Linked DNA regions of Oryzias latipes. The protein of the gene in region 4 interacts with the protein of the main gene of each other region in a biochemical or structural test. Links are inferred from orthologs where the notes say so. Each region holds a gene or a part of one and is shown on either strand. Other genes may lie near its edges.

The links.
Region 1: the proteins of bcl-2-like protein 1 (region 4) and bmf interact in a test that uses a peptide from one of them, tested with the Homo sapiens proteins (2 studies listed by BioGRID). The link is inferred for Oryzias latipes from reciprocal best matches to the Homo sapiens genes BCL2L1 and BMF.
Region 2: the proteins of bcl-2-like protein 1 (region 4) and vdac1 form a complex in vitro, tested with the Homo sapiens proteins (4 studies listed by BioGRID). The link is inferred for Oryzias latipes from reciprocal best matches to the Homo sapiens genes BCL2L1 and VDAC1.
Region 3: the proteins of bcl-2-like protein 1 (region 4) and siva1 form a complex in vitro, tested with the Homo sapiens proteins (2 studies listed by BioGRID and IntAct). The link is inferred for Oryzias latipes from reciprocal best matches to the Homo sapiens genes BCL2L1 and SIVA1.

What each region holds. Positions count from the first base shown.
Region 1 is NC_019880.2:14,499,248-14,503,967, forward strand, and holds part of bmf (bcl-2-modifying factor), read right to left. Parts: intron 2,820-4,720; coding exon 2,703-2,819; 3' UTR 1-2,702. UniProt on the Homo sapiens protein: May play a role in apoptosis. Isoform 1 seems to be the main initiator.
Region 2 is NC_019872.2:4,165,650-4,170,369, forward strand, and holds part of vdac1 (voltage-dependent anion-selective channel protein 1), read left to right. Parts: intron 1-399; coding exon 400-550; intron 551-2,590; coding exon 2,591-2,648; intron 2,649-4,720. UniProt on the Homo sapiens protein: Non-selective voltage-gated ion channel that mediates the transport of anions and cations through the mitochondrion outer membrane and plasma membrane.
Region 3 is NC_019880.2:14,647,413-14,652,027, reverse strand, and holds the end of siva1 (apoptosis regulatory protein Siva), read right to left. Parts: intron 3,067-4,615; coding exon 2,913-3,066; intron 1,292-2,912; coding exon 1,243-1,291; 3' UTR 1,091-1,242; downstream 1-1,090. UniProt on the Homo sapiens protein: Induces CD27-mediated apoptosis. Inhibits BCL2L1 isoform Bcl-x(L) anti-apoptotic activity. Inhibits activation of NF-kappa-B and promotes T-cell receptor-mediated apoptosis.
Region 4 is NC_019863.2:26,338,497-26,343,772, forward strand, and holds the start of bcl-2-like protein 1, read left to right. Parts: upstream 1-2,160; 5' UTR 2,161-2,392; intron 2,393-2,971; 5' UTR 2,972-2,999; coding exon of another isoform or gene 3,000-3,030; 5' UTR 3,031-3,067; coding exon 3,068-3,580; intron 3,581-5,276. Other genes in the region: activity-dependent neuroprotector homeobox protein, read left to right, coding at 1-1,086. UniProt on the Homo sapiens protein: Potent inhibitor of cell death. Inhibits activation of caspases. Appears to regulate cell death by blocking the voltage-dependent anion channel (VDAC) by binding to it and preventing the release of the caspase activator, CYC1, from the mitochondrial membrane.

The DNA.
Region 1 (4,720 bases), on a different chromosome or scaffold from region 4:
ATGGAAAATTGCAACCTTTTATTGTGAAAATATGCCTCCTAAAGTTTTCTTTCTTTATGTTTTAGGTTTTATTACTAATAGTTAGCAGTCACTGACACTTGCAGGTTTTTTCCCCCACTGTTTTTTTTCTGTGCCCAATGGAAGAGGAGTGATGCCAAAATAAGAGTATCACAGGAAGTGACACGAGGCGCAGTGATGACAAACATGCTGCACAGGGTCAAAGTTTGAGTCCAAAACAGGAAGAAGAGAATAAGCAGTGATTGCACACACACACACGTATACAGTAGAGATGGGTAAATATTTCTAAAAAGTAAAAATAAATAAAAGAAAAAAAAATAAATTACAAAGAAAATACACGTGATGAAGGAGCAGCACAAAGAGGTCAGGCGCCATTCAGGAGGTTGGGGGTGGAGGGACGAGGCACTACAGAGACTGGCTCAGCGTTCAGGATCCGCAGGAAACTATAACCACAACCGCTTTCAGTGCACCTCATACGCCTCATACTCAGAAGGCCCCCGTCACCGCCACAGCCAGCAAATCAGAATCCTCAGTCACTCACGACAGATTGCCTGAGGGGCGGAATTTGTAAATGATAATGACTTTATATCACTTTTGGTTGCTATTAGGTAGCATGACATTACTATTCCTGTAACTGTGTAACTAATTCTCAAGGTTTCCAGTAGCCAACAAAATCTGTCCCTGAGACGTCTTGAGAAAAACAAAAAAGAATGGTGCAGTCATAAACTTGACACATGTAAGAAGGGACTAGTTACAGCACAGACCCCTGACATGTGCTGCTCCTTAGATTCAAACCATGGCCGAGGTTAGGCAAGAAAAAAACAAAAAAGAACAGCATTTTTAACAGTGTTTTGAAACATATTCATAGAAAAATGACAGTCTTTTTTCTTTCACTTTTTCATTTCAGAAACTGTCTACTGACCCATTGTTGGTTGTGCTCGCATTATAGATCCTAATCTGAAAATCAGCACCAACAACATCATATGATGAAGTAAACCCGGCAAAGATGTCCTGAGTGGGATGAGGTTTTTTTCCTCAGTCATTCTTTCATTTAGTTTGGATTTTTTTTCAGAAAAGAGGAAAAGCAAAGATTGCTTTGCAGGAAGCTCCAACTCAACTTGAGCCTGAAACGGGAGAGATAAATGGAGAAAACCGACATCCACTTTAGACTCCGGACTGTGCTCAGTCAGGCCTCAACACTGATCGGTTGCCGCCTTAAACGTGCATGCAAGTACATCTGAAATGTTGCGCTAATGAAAACCTTCATGCAAGACAGAAGCTGACTTGGTAACAATCGGAACTCTTCAAAGGTGGAAGTCTAGTGCAAAAACAGTGGATCCACAGCTCCACTTCAAAGGGCATGGAGGTCTGAAAGCAATCACATACGATGACGCAGCTAAAACTAAACTATTTGTTAGACACTGAGGGGCAAAAAATTATCAAACTAGAAATAAGAATTCAAAGTAAAAAAACAGAATCTAAATAAAAACAATAGAGTTGGCAAAACCGGATCATTTTGGGGAGGATTGCTCCTTTTAACAGTGTGCTTTAATCTTTTGTTCGAATTTAGTGCAAAAGCACCCATTTGTTTTTATCATTATGCCTTTAGTGTGCTACAACTACGACACTATGAATCGTCTGTCAGTAAAATTATCTAGACAAATGCATATCTGCTTATATTTGTGAGCATTAAGACATAACGGGGTCCTAATGTTACTTTAAAGGAAAACAGTAACATAGGATTAAAATCAAAGTGACAGAAATTGAGGTTTTAATCAAGTAGTTAAGCATTTTTTTTTACCAAATATACAATTTGAATCCACTGAAATTGTTGCCGCTGAGTGGTTTTAAAGGTTTTTCTTTCTTTGTGTGTTTTTATAAAGTTTGCCGATGGTTACTGATGGGTTTGCCTGCAAAGAAAGGTTCTGACAAGGTCTTTTTTGATTTTTGCATGCAGCTTATAGTAGATGCCTAAAATTATTTTACAGTGGGACAACTCTTTCATGTGCATAAACTGCAGGTCATTTCAGTTGTTTTGTCTAAAATTAATCAGGAAAGTCAATTTATTATAAAAAAAAATCATGAAGGCGTAATAAAAGGTAAGTTAATGATCAAAAAGATGAGGGGAAAAAAAGAACACCGCTGAGGTGGGGTGCAAAATGCAATGTTCTGAGACGCTGCGTCTTTGGGAGCTAGTAAATCCATTAAACTGATCCAACTGAGAGACTTCTGGACAAAAATATTAAAAAAAAAAAGCACAAACTCTTTCATTTTCTTTTCATGAAACCTTTGCTTGTTTTAAAAAATACTCAATTTTTCCTTCTTATAGAAAACACTGAATAAGGCATCCCCAGGGTCTGCAGAGGTCATTTATCGTGGGTCTATGTTAAGAGTGCAAAATTGAACATTAAACTGTACAAAACCAGCACACCACATGTATGACAAAATATTAACATTGTCCTTTAGAGGAATCTTGGGAGGATTATGGCATCTTCTTGCAAGAAACGCACGTGACCTTGTAAAAAAAAAAAAAAAAGAAAGTTGGATGTCTCCGTCCCGCGGCGACCTTTATTGTCTCCTCTTTTTTTCTCCCTCAAACAGACCCGTGTTACATTTGACAGTGCCTACAGGAGGCCAGTTCCTAACAGAGATGAAGGCATTGGACATAAGGGGGCGGATCCCCCTTACCTTTGTCCTGCACCCCCTGCTCCAGCAATAAAGCCTCTATCGAATAGAAGGCTGACGAGAGCCGTGGCGAGGCGCCACCACACCGGCCCCTGGTTCCTTTGGTTTCGATGATACTGAAAGGACAACAGAGAGAAAAAATTAAAGACACGCTCGATTTACGTTACTTTTATTTCAACCCAAATGTATTTTTCGGTTATTATATTGCAAATAATTTTTACTGTATTTTATTTATCTCTAACTTGATTTTATTTGAACTGGCATTCATGTATTTACCTGACTGAAAGAACTGTATATGTATATATTTATGGTTCTGATGCGCTCACTATTGACGACTAGATGTATATCTTCATTTTCCTTGCTCAAACTGTACAGCTTTTTGTCCTGACTTTGCTTATTAGAGAAGCTTCAGGATCCCTCCACACACTGCTGATCTTCCCAACAGAAACTCCAAGTCATAAAAAACAGTCATCAAGCAGTTGCAGCTTTTTTTTTTTTTTTCTGGCAGAAGCCAGCAGCTGAGGAGGAGACTCCCAAAGCTTTGCGAGCCAATTGGATTGTGTGCGATTAGAGGGATAATGCTATCTCGGCCATTGAGACCTGAGATAAGATAATTGCACCAAATGGGATTAAGGAGGGGGGGGGGGGTGATGAGAGGCAGGCAGTCTGTGGAAAACCTGTATCTGCATGAGAGAGCTACAGTAGTCTAACAGCTCATCTGACGACAAAAGGCAGACTCCAACCACGTCTGATAAAGAGTGCAGCTATTTTCAACCCATCAGAGCAGTCAAGTGAAGACGAGGAGTTTTTATGACCTTCTTGAAAGCTATTTATTCTTATTTGTGAGACAAAATAACTGTAGGCAAGGTTAGATGTTCACTTGTCTCAGCGTGGTAACCTAACCTTGTTCTAGTTAGTAGCCAGGAACAGTGGTACGCTGGCGGGTTTATATTGCTGACTCTTATCAGTTTAATGGCTAACATTGCGTGGTGTTGCATAAGCACTGACAGTTTCCCGACAGCATGACTTTATCGCACTTGCCACTTGTGAAGAAAAGAATTATGGAAACGGCTTCCATGAGGTTCTCTGTGGCACGCGATGTTTGGGGCAAACTTTGGCTATATTGAAAGAAAAGTGCAAAGAAAGTGATGCAGCGCCATAAACTCCAAGACACAACAAAGACTGAACAATGTTGTTGTCAAAAGAGGAAGTCACAGGTAAACTAATATCTCCATCAGTTTGAGACGTTTGATGACGACAAGTTTCAATGTTTTTTCTAAGAGACTGCAGAACGGAAAGTGGAGTTTCTTTACCATCTATTTGAGAGGTCATTTGTCTTTACAGACAGAAACAAATTGTACCTTTGAGCTTTTACACTCAGCTCTGTCAGCTTAAGTGATACTCAGATAAATAGTCAAAGACAGAAAAGGGGAGGGAAAACAAAAGGTGGGTGCGAGCCCGTCACATATTACTCGTGGCTCATGCTGCCAGCTGTCAAAAATGAGTCCTGGCTTCCAAATTTAGCTCCGGACGGGAAAGCCAGATTCTCTGTGTCGTCACTCTGACACAAGCCTGATGGGTTTTTATCAGGGTCCACTGCAGACTGTCTGTTAAGACAGCTGCTCAGAGGCCCGGCTTTATCGTTTGAGTAAACAGCACACCCTTTATAGAAAGAGGCTCTAGATCAGTTGGATCAGCAAAAAGAGAAAGGTCAATGATAAATGCAAAATAGACAAAAACACATAGGCCACTGATGATATCATTAAGCACTAATGAAAAAGTACGTCTTTGGGTAAAAATTCTTTTTTTTTAACAAGTTATGATAAGAAAGAGTGCCACACTGACAGGAGCAGAGATAAACGGACACACAGCCACAGGCGATATTCAGCCTTGCTTTCAACACCTCCCTTCCAAAGGACCAGGAGTTGTCTCCTTTAAAAAAACATGGGGATGAAACCCAACTCTGCTCCTTGGCCTGCACAGGCTGGAGCAGTCTTCCTGCCATTGTGCCTGTCAT
Region 2 (4,720 bases), on a different chromosome or scaffold from region 4:
CTGTTTGGCTTTTTGCCATGCACGAAGGTGCCAGTGAGGTATTTTTATACCCAGGTGATGGGATTTACTATATGTGAGTGTGATTGGCAGACTGGGCCAGTCTCAGGGGGCAGAAGGGAAGGACAAGGTAGAGTGTTCGTGCAGCACCCCTCTGGCAAAGCCGGGTTTATTTCCCCGCTGAAGTGGTTATGTAAGGTGAGACGGAGGTTAATGCAGGCTTTGCATCGGTGAAAGTCCACCTGAGTGTGGTGCGTTGCCACGAATGTCACAGTCCTAGACCGCCAAGATATTTTAGGGAACATCGAAAACACATTTCATTCGTTTATAGCATCTAGTGTTCCCCACAGGGAAAAATGCCTTTTCCTTCTCACTGTTCAACATATTTCTATGTCTCCTCAGAAATGATGGCACAGAGTTTGGTGGATCCATCTACCAGAAGGTGAACGAGCAGCTGGAGACAGCCGTCAACCTGTCCTGGACAGCTGGAAACAGCAACACTCGCTTTGGCATTGCTGCCAAGTATCAGATTGATCCAGACGCATCTTTTTCTGTGAGTAGCCTTTTCTATGGGGGTCTTCACAATGTTGTTGTCTTAGTTACACACTCTACTGCCTCTGCTGACCAACTTGGCATGGTATGTTAGGTCTTCAAGATAGGAATGCAGGGGAACTTCTGCCAAAAGGTTCAAAAGGAAGAGTCTGTCTGGAACAGACGGGCTTCAACTGAATTATCTCCAACTTGAGCCTCGGTTAAATCCCCCTCAGAGCTAATTACTCTGATTGGTTGTTTATAATCTGAACCTGTTTACCCAAAAGTCTTGTAACTGAGTATGTCTGAATTCCTTCACTACTCACTACATAGTGCTCTATTTGGTTGTTCACCATTTTGTGGTGCTTTTACGAATCTACAGTTCCAAAATCGAGTGCCCTAGAAAGTCTCTGCGGAAAACCAGTGTGAATCGATGCTAACTAGATTTGCAAATATACAGACCACAATGCATTGCATATAAACAATTGTTGCACAAAAAAAATTGTATTTAAATGTATTTTTTAATAACGTTTTCATCTTCCCTCTCCACGGACAAATGTAAAGTCTGGGCATCTTTGCTTAGACCAGGGGTGTCAAACATATACTAGATGGTTCAATCTGGCCCAGTCATGAAAAGTAAAAGAATTTAGGATGTTTTAAAAACAAAAACAAAAAAATTCTTAAAATTCTAGTCCATTCCTTTGCCCATTTATGATTTTTTAAAGAAATAACCGAAGTGCGCAATTCCGCCACTAGGGGGAGAAAAGCAAAAGCAAAGCAGGTGAAACAGCATTTCTCAAAAGTGAATCCTAACAACTTTGGGTGTGGGTAAGATGTATTTTGGTTCTCTTAGATTCTCACCGCTGTTACATTGCTATGAGAATGATCAGTAGTGACACAATAATGACCAAAATGTTGTCAAAAAGAAAGAAAGGTTGAAGTGGAGTGCTGAGCTTTCCAGGAATTATTTGTTCATGGAGCCGAATGCAAAACCTGCCTGCTTGTTACGTCATCAACAGGTCACAGGGCTCAAAGAATACAACATTCAGCACATATGAGACTCACCATAAAGAAAATTTTCACCATTTGCAGTTAAGAAAAGAGAAGATTTACCAACTATTAGCTGGACTGAAGACCAACCGTCTGCATTTACTGCAGCGTGACGTCAGTGATGGAGCAGTGACAGACACCTGATTGCAGACAAGTTGGAGCAAACATCCAAACCATTTTCAGATAGTGAACTTATAGAAAAATGCTGGAGGCTGCAGAAGTCTTGTTCCCTAAAAGCTATTGACCTTTTGGCCTCTGTGAATGAATGTGTATTAATAAATAATAGACTACCATGTTGGTTGAGGCATTTTTTCCAAATGACAAAAAAAAACAAAACTGTTATTTTGCTTTTATGTTGCTGGTCTGGCCCACTTGAGATCAGAGAGGTTGAATGTGGCCCCCGAACCAAAATGAGTTTGACACCCCTGGCTTAGACAGCTGCCCCCGTGACCCGGTCCTGGATGAGCAGAAGAAGATGGATGGATGGATTTTTGTTTTTTTTGTTTTTTTTTTATTCTGAAAAGTTTGAGCAGAAAGTCAGTAGAGGAAGAGGGAAAAATGTTTAGTTTTTTTATCTCTGTTTGACCCACTTAACTTTAAACCTACTTGACTTGTAAGTAAAATGTATTCAATTGTTCATGAATGCAGTCATCCATCTTCTACACCTCCTACCTCCTGTTTTGGGTCATGGGGATGCTGGAGCCTATCCCTATTACTTTATTTACAGTTGTGTTGCACCCTGGACAGTTTGCCAGTCCATAGTCCACAAAGAGTCAAACAACTACACACTCGCATTCACAGCTAAGCACCAATTAACATACAAAGAATGCTTTTGAACTGTGGGAGGAAGCCATTAAGCCAGAAACACTCCCCCCCCACGAGGAGAACATGCTAACTTCACATAGAAAGGACCCAGTTGGGATTCAAACCAGGACTCTCTGGCTGTGAGACTGAAGTGTCTATAAAAGCCCGTTCAGCCGCTCTAACGTTGCTAAACTCTGTTCTTTCTCAGGCCAAGGTGAACAATTCCAGCCTCGTGGGTCTGGGCTACACTCAGACTCTGAAGCCAGGTGAGTGAAGCTACTTTCTAGTTTGGGAATTTTCTACCTGAATAGGAAAAATTAGGGCTGCACCATATGAGGAAAACTCGCGATATTGGTGATTAATATTGCGATGACGATATACCGTAATTTCCGGACTATAAGCCGCTACTTTTTTCCTGCGCTTACAGCCTTGCGGCTTATTCAGTGACGCGGCTAATTTATGGATTTAATTGGCGGCCGCCATGTACGTACTTTCGAACTCAGTGAATAGTTTGAATTCTAGCACAAGGCATTTATATTCAACACACCTCTTAGCAGCCAAACAGCATGGACTTGACTTCAGGTCTTAGACACTTCAGTCATGGTTCAACAAAACGAAACACGCATGCCCGGCCGCATCCCAGAATCCTTTGGGGCCATTAGACCCAACGTGCACGTGATCGCCGCTACATTATGATGAAGCTTTCAAGTTAAAAGCAATCGTTAAAAGCAGCGTAAAAAAGTCCACCGTCACCAACGGGTTTGGAAAAGCCGGTTTGCTGCATGACGGAGAGAACAGCGCATGGAGTGAATTTACACTCCATTTACGGTTTCTAAGGAAACCGTAAAAGCGGAATTTTGCTTTGAAAAACTCTCCTGCTGATTGAGCTGCGGGGCCGATGGCAGTCTGATGGCTCCCACACGTAACAACGCATCCGCCCCTCATACACAAAACGTACAGTATTAAGTCCGATTGCTTTGCACAGAAACTATTTGCTCCTTACACCGGCGCAACGGGGACGAAGTGCTCCTCCTTGAAGCCGCCCTGGCCAGAGGTGTCGGAGTAGATAGGAAGGGGAGACAAGGAGCGCGCGGGGCGGGAGCGGAGCGCAGAGGCTTCTGAATTCTGACGCACGCGCCGCACTGAGGCGCGCGTATCGCGCTGAGGCGCGCGCTTTTCAGTCGTCGCTGCTTTATTTTACTAGTGTGTTTTTTAACCAGTCCTGTTACTCCCATAACGCTGCGCGACACAAGCGGAAGGAGAGCTGTACCCGTTCACCCCTCCATGCACTGCTGATACTCATTCTTAAACACGTACAACAGTATGGCGAGCCGGGCATTGGCCCCGCCTTTAGCCCCTAAGACTCATGGGAAATGTGGAATCGCGGATGTAAATTTCCTCATCATAACTGAGGGATGTAATGTTGATTATATGGTTACTGTTTGTAATTTTATGTATGATATCTAGATTGTCAATAAGTTAAAAAAAAATGAAATAAAAACACCATAACTGAGGAACTTGTGAACAGAATAGAGGTCCATGCTGTATGACAGATGTCGATACACTCAAATACATGAGCCAGAGGCAAAACTGGCACCACCCACAATGTGCTAATGAATCACACTCACTCTGGGATGCTGGCCTTGATCTGTCAGGATGACAATATCGCCTAACACATGTGCGGCTTGTACTCTGACACGGCTTGTGTATGTATAAAAGCAGTCAAACACGTGAAAATGGGTGGGTGCGGCTTGTAATTGGGTGCGCTTTGTAGTCCGGAATTTACGGTAATTTGTGGTACATAAACAAATGGCAAAACAACCAAAAACATCATTTCCATTTCACTGCAACGGTTTAAAATTATACTCCCTCTGACCCTTGTTGACGTAGGAGGCAAACATCAAACATAAAAGGGCTCATCTGATTGATCAACAACGTAAACGGGTCCTTCTGATTGGTTAAATGCATAAAGGGATTTATTTCATTTGTTCAATATTTCAAGCTGCCATGAGTATGTTTTAGCACATTTAAGGTAACCGTTTATTGCAATTTTCGCCGTCTTTTGCGGTATGCATTTTGCACAGCTTGATGTCGCGATAACGATAAATTTGCGGTATATTGTGTAGGCCTAGGAAAAATGACATTTGCAGCTGTAAATTTAATCTTTTCGAGGTTGAAATACTTTGCAGTTTGGTCGGTGGAATTTGGTGTTGATGATTTTCGACAAGCTGAAACTTTTACTACCAAAATACTAAATCTGATCCTGAAACAACCTAACTAAAACAACATCCTTGCAATTATAATTTAAACTCAATGATTTTTTTGTGAAATTTGTTTT
Region 3 (4,615 bases), on a different chromosome or scaffold from region 4:
TCCCCAAGAGAATGGGTGAAAGACAAAGCCACGTGCTCCTGCTGGCTTGCTGCAGTTGGTGCTGTCTGGAGCGCCGTGGGTGATTATCTGCACCCCCCACCCCCCTACAGACACACATGTAGCAAGGGGGAGTTGAGGAGCATTCTTGGCAAGAAAAGTACAACATGACCTTTAAGTTGCATGGATAAATATGCACGGAAAAGCCTGACAACTCTGTTTTCTTCAAAGCTCTGTAAGGAGAAGAGACGGGCGCTTGGTCGAAGACTAAATGAGAAGTTGCAGGAACTGTGATTTCTTCCATCTGATCAGCATCAGTCGCGGCGTTTCTTGCGGCCATGACATCAACTGTTCAGACTTCAACAATAAATGTTTTTCTTTCAAGTATTCCGTATTCATGAGTCTTATCGGGTAATGTGCAGACAACCTGACGCCACCCTTTGCCAGCAGCTGTCTGCTCACTCAAGCAGAAATCAAGCGGTGCCCTGGGCCACCAACTGCAAGAGCTCCCAAAAGACGGGGGCCACAACTGGGCCGCTGAGCAGCCGATGTGACTAAAAAGCTCACATGCACTCACTCATCCCAGCCCGTATCCATAACAGTGTCACAAGACGAGACTTTTCTAAAGTCCCGTTGTGGACCTTTGCCATGAAGAACTATTACTCAGAGCGTTCAGCATCTGACCCTGAAACGGATCGTCGTCTGCGATGAGCAGCAGCCAACTGAAAGAGATGACTCCACCCAAAGGTCACGTCCAGCAGGGATGACTGCAGCCTGCTTTACCGCTCAGCACTTGTTTTATTTGAAATACATTTGATAGTAGATGTACAAGGTCAGTGTGGACAAGCTGCAATTTGATTATCAGTGTCAGTCAGAATACAAGGAGTCAGATGTTGTTCTTTGGTACATTCAAGGAGTGGATTAGGAATACTTTCTAAGTTTGGGTGGTTTATTCCTCCACCGAGTATGGAGGGCGCGACCTCCTGCCGCTGTGCAGTCATCCCAAACCTTCTAGCTCCATGTTGAGCTCCTTTTTCTATATTTGTGTGTCTATTAAAAGGTAAAATAGACAATACAAAACCACAATCACAAAAACGTTTCTAAAAAGGGTTCAAGTTTATTCAATCAAACCTTCAAATGACAATATTTACATAAACATGAATTAAGAAAAAAAGGGTATAAAATATCAATTAATGCAATTACAGTGTTTAAATATACATTTGTGTTCCAGCCTTTGGTCTTCCTTTACGTAGAGCAGCCGCAGCAGAGTACTTCATCGTACCGCCCGCTGTAACTGCAACACATGAAAGATTCCTCACGTTATGATTCAAACAGCCTCTTCATTAATTCAATGTGATTTATGATTAGGAATGTATAAAAACAACAAAAAACTTTAACTACAGTTGACTGAAAGCGAAGAGTCCCACTTTCAGCTTCTAAAGTATGCTTCCTCCTGTGTGAAGCTTCATCCTCTTTAGTTTGGATTCAAGAAATGTTGTAGTCAAAAGAAAATTATGGAAAAAAACAGAAATAAAACAATACCCTTAAGGGAAGACAGGAAGATTGATCAAGATACCTAAATCTTAAAATAGGATGGGAGGACCAGTTGTTTAAAGAAATTCTATTTATTCTTAATAAAAATGGAAAACTGTGTTCATTTGAGTAATTATGAGTTAATTATTAGTTATTGCTGATTTTGGTTTTTACTGCATGTTTCATGTCGTGGCAGCTGTGAGTGAGCACCAACGGTTTGACAGATCGAAGGATTTGACGTCAACCAATATGACTAAACTCCATAAGTAAATAGAATCTCCAACATGCATTATTTAGGATAAAACCAAAAGAAAAAACACTGTCCTGGTTCATTTTTAATGGAAATGCATTAAAGTTAAAGCAACCTTCTTTAGGTTTCATTTCAAATCAATCAGGGGTTTACTTATATTGACAGAAACATATTTGTAAGTCTTTGAACCAAACCTGAAGGATCGTTTACATTCACGAGCTTTTCCAACCAACATCCAATGATCTTAAAGCTACGTTCACACCACACTCTGCAACTCAGGTTCAAGCGGCCAGTTCCAATGAAGTTCATGACCCTGGCGTTCACGCATCGCTGTGCAAGTTTCTACGGCCGTTTTTAGCCTCCATGTAAAAAACATGTGTAGCAAATGAACGAGCGTTGAAAGTTAAACCAGGTCAAACGTTGAGCAATCAGGGCCTTAGATGTAAAAGTGAAGTATCGTTGGCGTCCCTTTTCATTCACAGAAGAGGCCGACTGTATGAAAAATGACCATGGAAGAGAAATGAATATTTGTGTTTTAAGGAAGCAGGAATTCTATGACACCAGGTCTTTCGTGTATCGGAACAGAGCTGTGAAGGAAAAAGCCTGGAGCAAGATTCACCAGATTTGCACCATTGACATTTCACACCAAGCCTCTTTCAATGAAGGGGGCAGACATGCACTAGAAAACATTGTGAACATGGGCCAAGCGCAGAAAATATATCTGTTGTAATAAGATTCCAATATATGGCACTGATCATAATAATGAGGATAAAATGAATATCTGATTATGATCGGGATTCAACATTCAATTCCGATCAAGTCTGAAACGACATGATTGGGCCCAATTTTTGATCGCATGATAAGAATAATCTAGTGGCTCTTTAAGGCTTTGAAAAACACTCTGGCTGTCATTTAATCAGCAGGAGTCAACAGGTGAATATCAATATGACAGTAATTTAGGAGTGGCAGACTTGCAGAAACAAATTGCTTTTTACTTAATAGATTTTTGATTAAAATGAACATTTGTTACAACAATGAGGCACAATAACTGTAAAGAGGCTTTCAATCAAAGTTTAACGGGCTTTTGTATAGAGACGGGTGAACAGAGTTTAGTTTCAAGTTTTCAACTTACTCTAAGATGGTGCAGACAGAGCAGCATAAGCTGCAGCAGTTGGAGCACTGTCGGACACAGGATGAACACGCCAGTCGATCACACTGAGAACACGGCGTCCTGGGTCCCTGGCTCTTCTGACACACACAGCAACCTGTGGGACCCACTGGGTTACCTGGACAAGTCACAAACATGAGCCTTTAGCAAAGCAGTGAAGTTAGTCTGATAAGGTGGGCAAACTTGTATGAACTCTGCCACCTGCTGGTGGAAAGTATTAAGTGAACCAAATCCTTTGAACCCTCGTGCTATCTTGGATGACCCCACCCTTACATTGACGTGTTCCTCCTACCATGACAAAGGTGGATAAAGGTGAAGAGGATTTCATGTAATCCATGGACACCAGAGAAGATCACAAATCATTGAAGAAAAAAGGTTCAGTGCACTGTCTAGTGGGTCTAGATGACCCAACTCCCAATGTTAAAGTGCCTAGAACAGCACAAGGGTTAATGTGATCCAAGGGGCCTAAAACCCAAGAAGTTTAAGCTTTTGTCAAACAATTAAAACATCTGCACAGGGAAAAAGAATTAAAACATGTTCTTGTTTTGGTGGACATTAATTTTTTTTTTAAACCCAAGAATTTAGCTAATCAAACTAAAAATGTCTAAATCCCAGTTTAAGATGAAAAAATGATTAATTTAATTAATCAACGATGAAAAAAAAAACATGTAAAAAATCTTAAAGTAACAACAAAGAACCGGAGCAGCTTCGATCCTGTATGTTAAAACTACGAACCCGTTACCTACTCCAGGTGGTAATGTGTAACTCTAGCCACAAGGAGGCAGTAGCGTGCAAAACTGGAACCATCAAACGATTAAAAAGAAGGCCTCTAGATTCTACAACACTATTAGAAACTGTTAGGTCACCGGCTTTAAGCGTACAAATAAGGGCAAAAAGGCAGAGACTCAAGCTGACAGAAAATAAACTAACATTGAAAAGAACGACTGCTATAGAAAAAACTTTGTCATATGTCAACAAAAAGTTTAATAGCTTTTAAGGGTCACTTTTCTATGAAGCTAAGGTGATAGAGCAACAAAAAGTAAATGACTTAACTACCAGCTGCAGGTTATTGTGATGGCAGGATATTAAACATAAGCAGAAATAAAAATGGGAGGCAATATGATACTGCTTCAAAGATCCATCTAATTACAAAACATGTTTTTCTCATGATGGGGAAAATATTTAAGGAAAAGTGAGCTTAAAATTGTGTTTGAGTACTTTTCTCAATTGGGGTTGGACAAGAAATCGATTTTTATTGATAAAGTCGAATTTGTTATTTAAGAAGATTAGTTCTTGGGAAATTCTGGATTTTATTTTCCCAGCACTCTGCTTTCTAGGGCTTCCGTTGCTCGGAGCAAGGTCAGCATGCCCGCTTCTCGCTGCACGCAGATGCACAACTAAAGAGAGGCTTGTTCCCAAAACAGTCACAGTTTCTTCATTTATATGGAACTGTCTCGGTTTTGTGGCTTAAGACTTTGAGCACAAAACGCATGCTGCACAATGCATTTGAAGGCTGTTGCTATTAAAAGTGGGAGTACAACAAATTCATTTCAACACCTGAAACAGACCGTTTAGCGCGAGAAGTGTTTCTCTCTACAAGATGCTAAAACTAGCAGCAGCTCACAAAACAAAAGCTTTGTTAAACAAACATTTTTACAGCTTAGTTG
Region 4 (5,276 bases):
TCCATTGACTCAGATACTGATCCAGAGACGGAAGATGCGCCTGGTGAGACTAAGAAAGCTGACACAGATGATGAAGATGTAGTGCTAGTGGACGAGCTGATGATGAAGGAGAAGACTACTTCTGTGGAGATGAACGTTCCCTCAAATGACATGGTAATCTCTCCACAAGATGAGAAAGAAAAGGAAAGTTATCTGCCAACTGAGATGGAAATCCCAAGCCCCTTGCAAGATGAAAAAGAAGTTCAAAGTCCTCCACAGGATGAGAAGGAAACTCCAAGTCCTCCGCAGGATGAGAAGGAAACTCCAAGTCCTCAGCAGGATGAGAAAGAAACTCCAAGTCCTCCGCAGGATGAGAAGGAATCTCCAAGTCCTCCGCAGGATGAGAAGGAATCTCCAAGTCCTCCGCAGGATGAGAGGGAAATTCCAAGTCCTCTACAGGATGAGAAAAAATTTCCATGTCCTCCGCAGGGTGAGAAGGAAATTTCAAGTCCTCCACAGGATGAAAAGGAAATTCCCAGTCCTCAGGATGAAAAGGAAATTCCAAGTCCTCCTCAGGATGAAAAGGAAATTCCAAGTCCTACTCAGGATGAAAAGGTAATTCCAAGTCCTCCTCAGGATGAGAAGGAAATTCCAAGTCCTCAGCAGGATGAGAAGGAAATTCCAAGTCCTCAGCAGGATGAGAAGGAAATTCCAAGTCCTCCACAAGATGAGAAGGAAATTCCAAGTCCTCAGCAGGATGAGAAGGAAATTCCAAGTCCTCAGCAGGATGAGAAGGAAATTCCAAGTCCTCAGCAGGATGAGAAAGACAGTGGAAATTCAAAGCCAAATGAGAGAGAAAGCCAAAGCCCTCTGCAAGACGAGGAAGAAATTGAGGAAAGCTCTCTCCAAGATGTCACAGAAAACGCTGGAGAAAAGGAGAGCGCTCTGCAAAATGGGGAAGAAAATGAAAGTTCACTGCAAGATGAGAAACCAAATTGGATCTCAATTCAAGGTGAGAAAAAAATTGCGAGACATGACGATGACAATGAAAGTTCTTTGCAAGGAAATAAAGAAAATGCTGGTGTGAGCCGCTTGTGTTCAACATAAAGCTGTTAGTTTTAGTGGAGTTTACATTTAAAACAAGAACTCCAATGACACCATAAAAACAAAATTGAAACTCTTACCTTTCTGAACGCATTCATTTAAGGGACTATGCTACATAATACCGTATTTCATGAAACATCATGTTAGTCGTTTTGTATATACTTATGTCATTGTTAGTTTCTTTGCATTTTGTATTTACTGGGTTTTGTCACATCTTTGTAATATTTTACTTGTTTACTTTTTTCCACTCAGCTAAGATGAATTTTGGTTATTCACTTTTAGAAAATGTAAAATATGTTAAAAGTGTATGTAAATGATTATATGATGTGTTATTAAAAGTTTTTTTGTTGTACCCTGTCTCTACCAAAGTATAATTTCCTAATTTAAGTTTTTAATTAAGAATCTTTATTCAGGAAAATCTAGTTTAAACAAAATTTGACTAGCTTTTATCAAGTAGGTAAGGACAATTCTTAACACTTAAGCTCAGCTTAATGATTGTGTTGGGTAATAAGGCAGTAGTGATCAGTTTTTACATTTTTCTTATAATCTTGGAATTTTATGGTATGCGTTCCTACAAGGATGAATTGGCTCCATGAACTGAACTTCGGCGTTAAGCTATGCTTACGTAGTTTTATGTTGGATAAATTTAAAAATCCCACTCCGATCATCTTTAGTGATATTTCCAAAGCATTCCCAGTAATTATGATAATGTTTTTTTTTTAATACACTAAAATAAAATTGAAAAAAATCTGCTTTTTGGGACAGTTTCTGCACGGTGGCAGTAGTTCATTAAAATTTTGCCTCAGGAAGTCGGCAGGAGCATTTGCAAGTTACAACCCCACCTTCCCTCCCAGGGAAAATAGTTTTTGGGCTGCCCAGCGTATTTTCTACGTCACAAGAAAAGTTCTTTTCACCTGACTCACAGCGATTTGCATAAAGATATTGCCGGGAATGTAATTTTATACTTAAATGTCTTCATATATGCTCTCCATAATCAGAAAAACGCTACAAGAACACGTTAAAAATAAGATTTTGCTCACATGTTTGTTCCCGTTTACAACTGTCACTCGACACTGAATGAAGAAAATAGGAGCAACCAGGTCGGAAATCCAGATTTGATGATTGGTGGAAAGCAGAAGAGGGCGGGACTTGTGTCTAATTCAGTTATTCGATTGGCTCTCTTCCAGTGTACGTCACTTTAGTGTCAAAGTAAGAGACTGTTACAAAAAATATATGTATTTCTGGGCTCTTGTTTAAATATTACCTGATCAGAATGCTCAGTCAACACAAAATAAATCCTAAAACTGCTGTAAGTATGATTTATTAAAGCAAAAACAACAACAAACAAACACTATAGCTGTGCTTTCGACGCGCTTACGCCGTTGTTGTGTTTCCTTAGCAGGTAGTTTAGCACGCGAGGCTAACAGGCTTGTATATAAAAATAAGGGTTAAAAAGTTGACACGTAGAGACATTTGTTTGATACTATACGCGTCGTAAGATTAATCTATTTAGCTAAGGTTGAAATGTGAATTGTTAGGTAAAGCGGGTGACTTCTTGCTATCATAGTTTTCGTTTCATTTTTGCTCTAACGTTTTGCAGACTAGCTAACCCTGGCTGTTAAGTTTGTTCCGATTGTTTAAACATTTATTTAGTAGTGCGAAAGTGAAAGCATATAATTAAGTTTAGCCATCAAAGTCAAATATGTTTTAGATTAGATAAAACTTTATTTAGCTTAATCATCTCACAATGGGGAAATTCTCTAAAGACCTGATGATTTTAACTGATGATTCATCAGTTTAAACTGATGATTCTCTAAAAACCTGTTCTAAACCTGATGCATAAGCTGCATAGAAGGATAAAGTCACTTTGCCTGCTGTGTGCTTGCAGGTTGCATAAAGAATCTCTGACGTGACAGATGACTAAGTGGAAGAAATCATGGCATCTGAGTAGGTTGGCTTCACACTGGAGGTTCAAGCTCACACAATGTCCCACTGTAACAGAGAGCTGGTCCGGTTCTATTTAGCCTATAAGATGTCATGCAGGGACTATCCTGTGTCCCTGCTGAAGCCCACAGACGATGGGGGAGAAACTGAAGAGGACCACTCCGATGCCCGGAATCGCAGGCTGGTCAGCAGTGAGGACGGCCGGCTGAGGAGGTCCTGTCCCTGTTGTGCTAGCATGGACGCCATCAAATCAACTCTCAAAGATTCGGCCGATGAGTTTGAACGTCGTTTCCATCAAGGTTTTAGTGATCTCTCCGTGCAGCTTCATATCACTCCAGACACGGCCTACCAAAACTTCAAAAGGGTGTTGGATGAGCTGTTCAAGGATGGGATCAACTGGGGGCGCGTTGTGGGTTTGTTTGTCTTTGGTGGTGCGCTGTGTGTCGAGTGTGTCGAGAGGAATATGGGTGAGCTGGTCTCCCGCATTGCTGAATGGATGACCCAGTACCTGGATGAGCAAATAAGTCCATGGATCCACAGTCATGGAGGATGGGTGAGTCTCTTCCTGACATAGTCATGATTTTTTAATGTTGGTCCAGGATCAAGTGGACGGTGTCTGTAAGTTTATGTTTTCATTGTTGAGTCCATATCTTCAGTTTTCTTGACATTCAAAGTTCTGTTTTATCCTGTTTGTTTTTTTGACAGAGTTAGTTAATTGCTGCATCTCTATAGTCATCTTTCATTCTGATCCTTTATATAACTTTAAAACTTTTAAAAAAAAGCAACATTTACTTATTGGAACTGTGGAGCTGTAAAAGAATTTCCTAAGTCCTGATTCTCCAGAAGCCACTTTAAGTCAAAAGTTAAGCATTTTGGCAGAAACCCAGTTTTCTGTTTTTTTATAGTTTCAAATCTGATTTACGTTCAGCAGAAAACATTCTTCCATCTATTTTTTTTGAAGAGGAAAAACCAACATCTTAGACATTTACATGGAGATTGTTTTTTTTTTTTTTTTTTAAAGTGAAGTGGATGGTGTTTGAAAACTCCCTGTCAAGTCTGTTTAAAGGGCCTATATTACGCTTTGTCGAAGCATTTTAGAGTAAACTATTTTCATATATAGGATCATATATTACCTTTGGCACACAAAATAAGAATTTCTTATTATTTTCAAGTTATTTTCTACCTGGAAGTGAGACGACTCATTTTTTGTGTGAGAAATTAACATTACAGTAACTTAAAAGCTCAAAAAGTTGAATTTGCTTGATATGAGCCCATTAAAGATTTACTAAGCATTTATAACATTTATGATAAAAACAAAGCTTAGACATCCTTTGGAAATAGCAGTGGAATTACAGTGATATAGTGATGGGATGATGATGCCTAAAGGAGTGTTAATTTCTCAACACTGTATTGACAAAGTGTTGATTCCTCTATAGTGACCCCTGCAGTAATTCTGAAACTGTTAAAGCCCCACTTGAATTAAAATGGGATCATGTCAACATGTTTTTGTAACATTTTTCTCATGATGGAGGATATATATATATATATATATTTTTTTAAACTGCAATTTTTGAGTATTTCTTTATTCAAAATGTTGTGAATCAGGAGAAGACAAAAAAAGCCTGTAGTTGTGACAGAAACTACAATCAGTAGGTCACAAGCTCCCTGCTCTGCTCCATTCTGATGCATCCGCTCGCCGTTTTTTTTAATCTTTTACTTTACACACAGAATAACAGTCTAAAAATGGATTCATTCATACATTTTAATAAGAAACAAAAGTTTTTGTAGTCTTTGTTTCAAAATGATTTCTCTTGGTAGGACTTCGTATGAAAGTGCAATAACCCTTGAATCCCTCATCTTCAACAGCAATGAGTGGTTGACAGTCTTTCGTGATCATCTTCACCGTGGCCTCATCCGTTGCTTGTTAGGAACTGCAAGTTAAAAAAAAATCTTTAGTTTAAAGCTTAATTTTTATTAATAATATTGCAAACACACACAAAGACTATTTTTGAACATGTCAAAGACTCCCATGAGGATTTTCATATTCTGTGCTGCCACATTGAGCTCTATAATGCCTCAGCATTGATGGATTGCTCTAGTTCAGTGTTTTTCAACCTTTTTTGAGCCACGGCACACTTTAACCTTGACAAAAATCCCGCGGCACACCAGCATCCCAAAAAAAAAAAAGAAGCAGAAACTCATAGTCTGTTTTGATTTACAGCCCCCCCCCCCCCCCCCCCCCCCCCCGG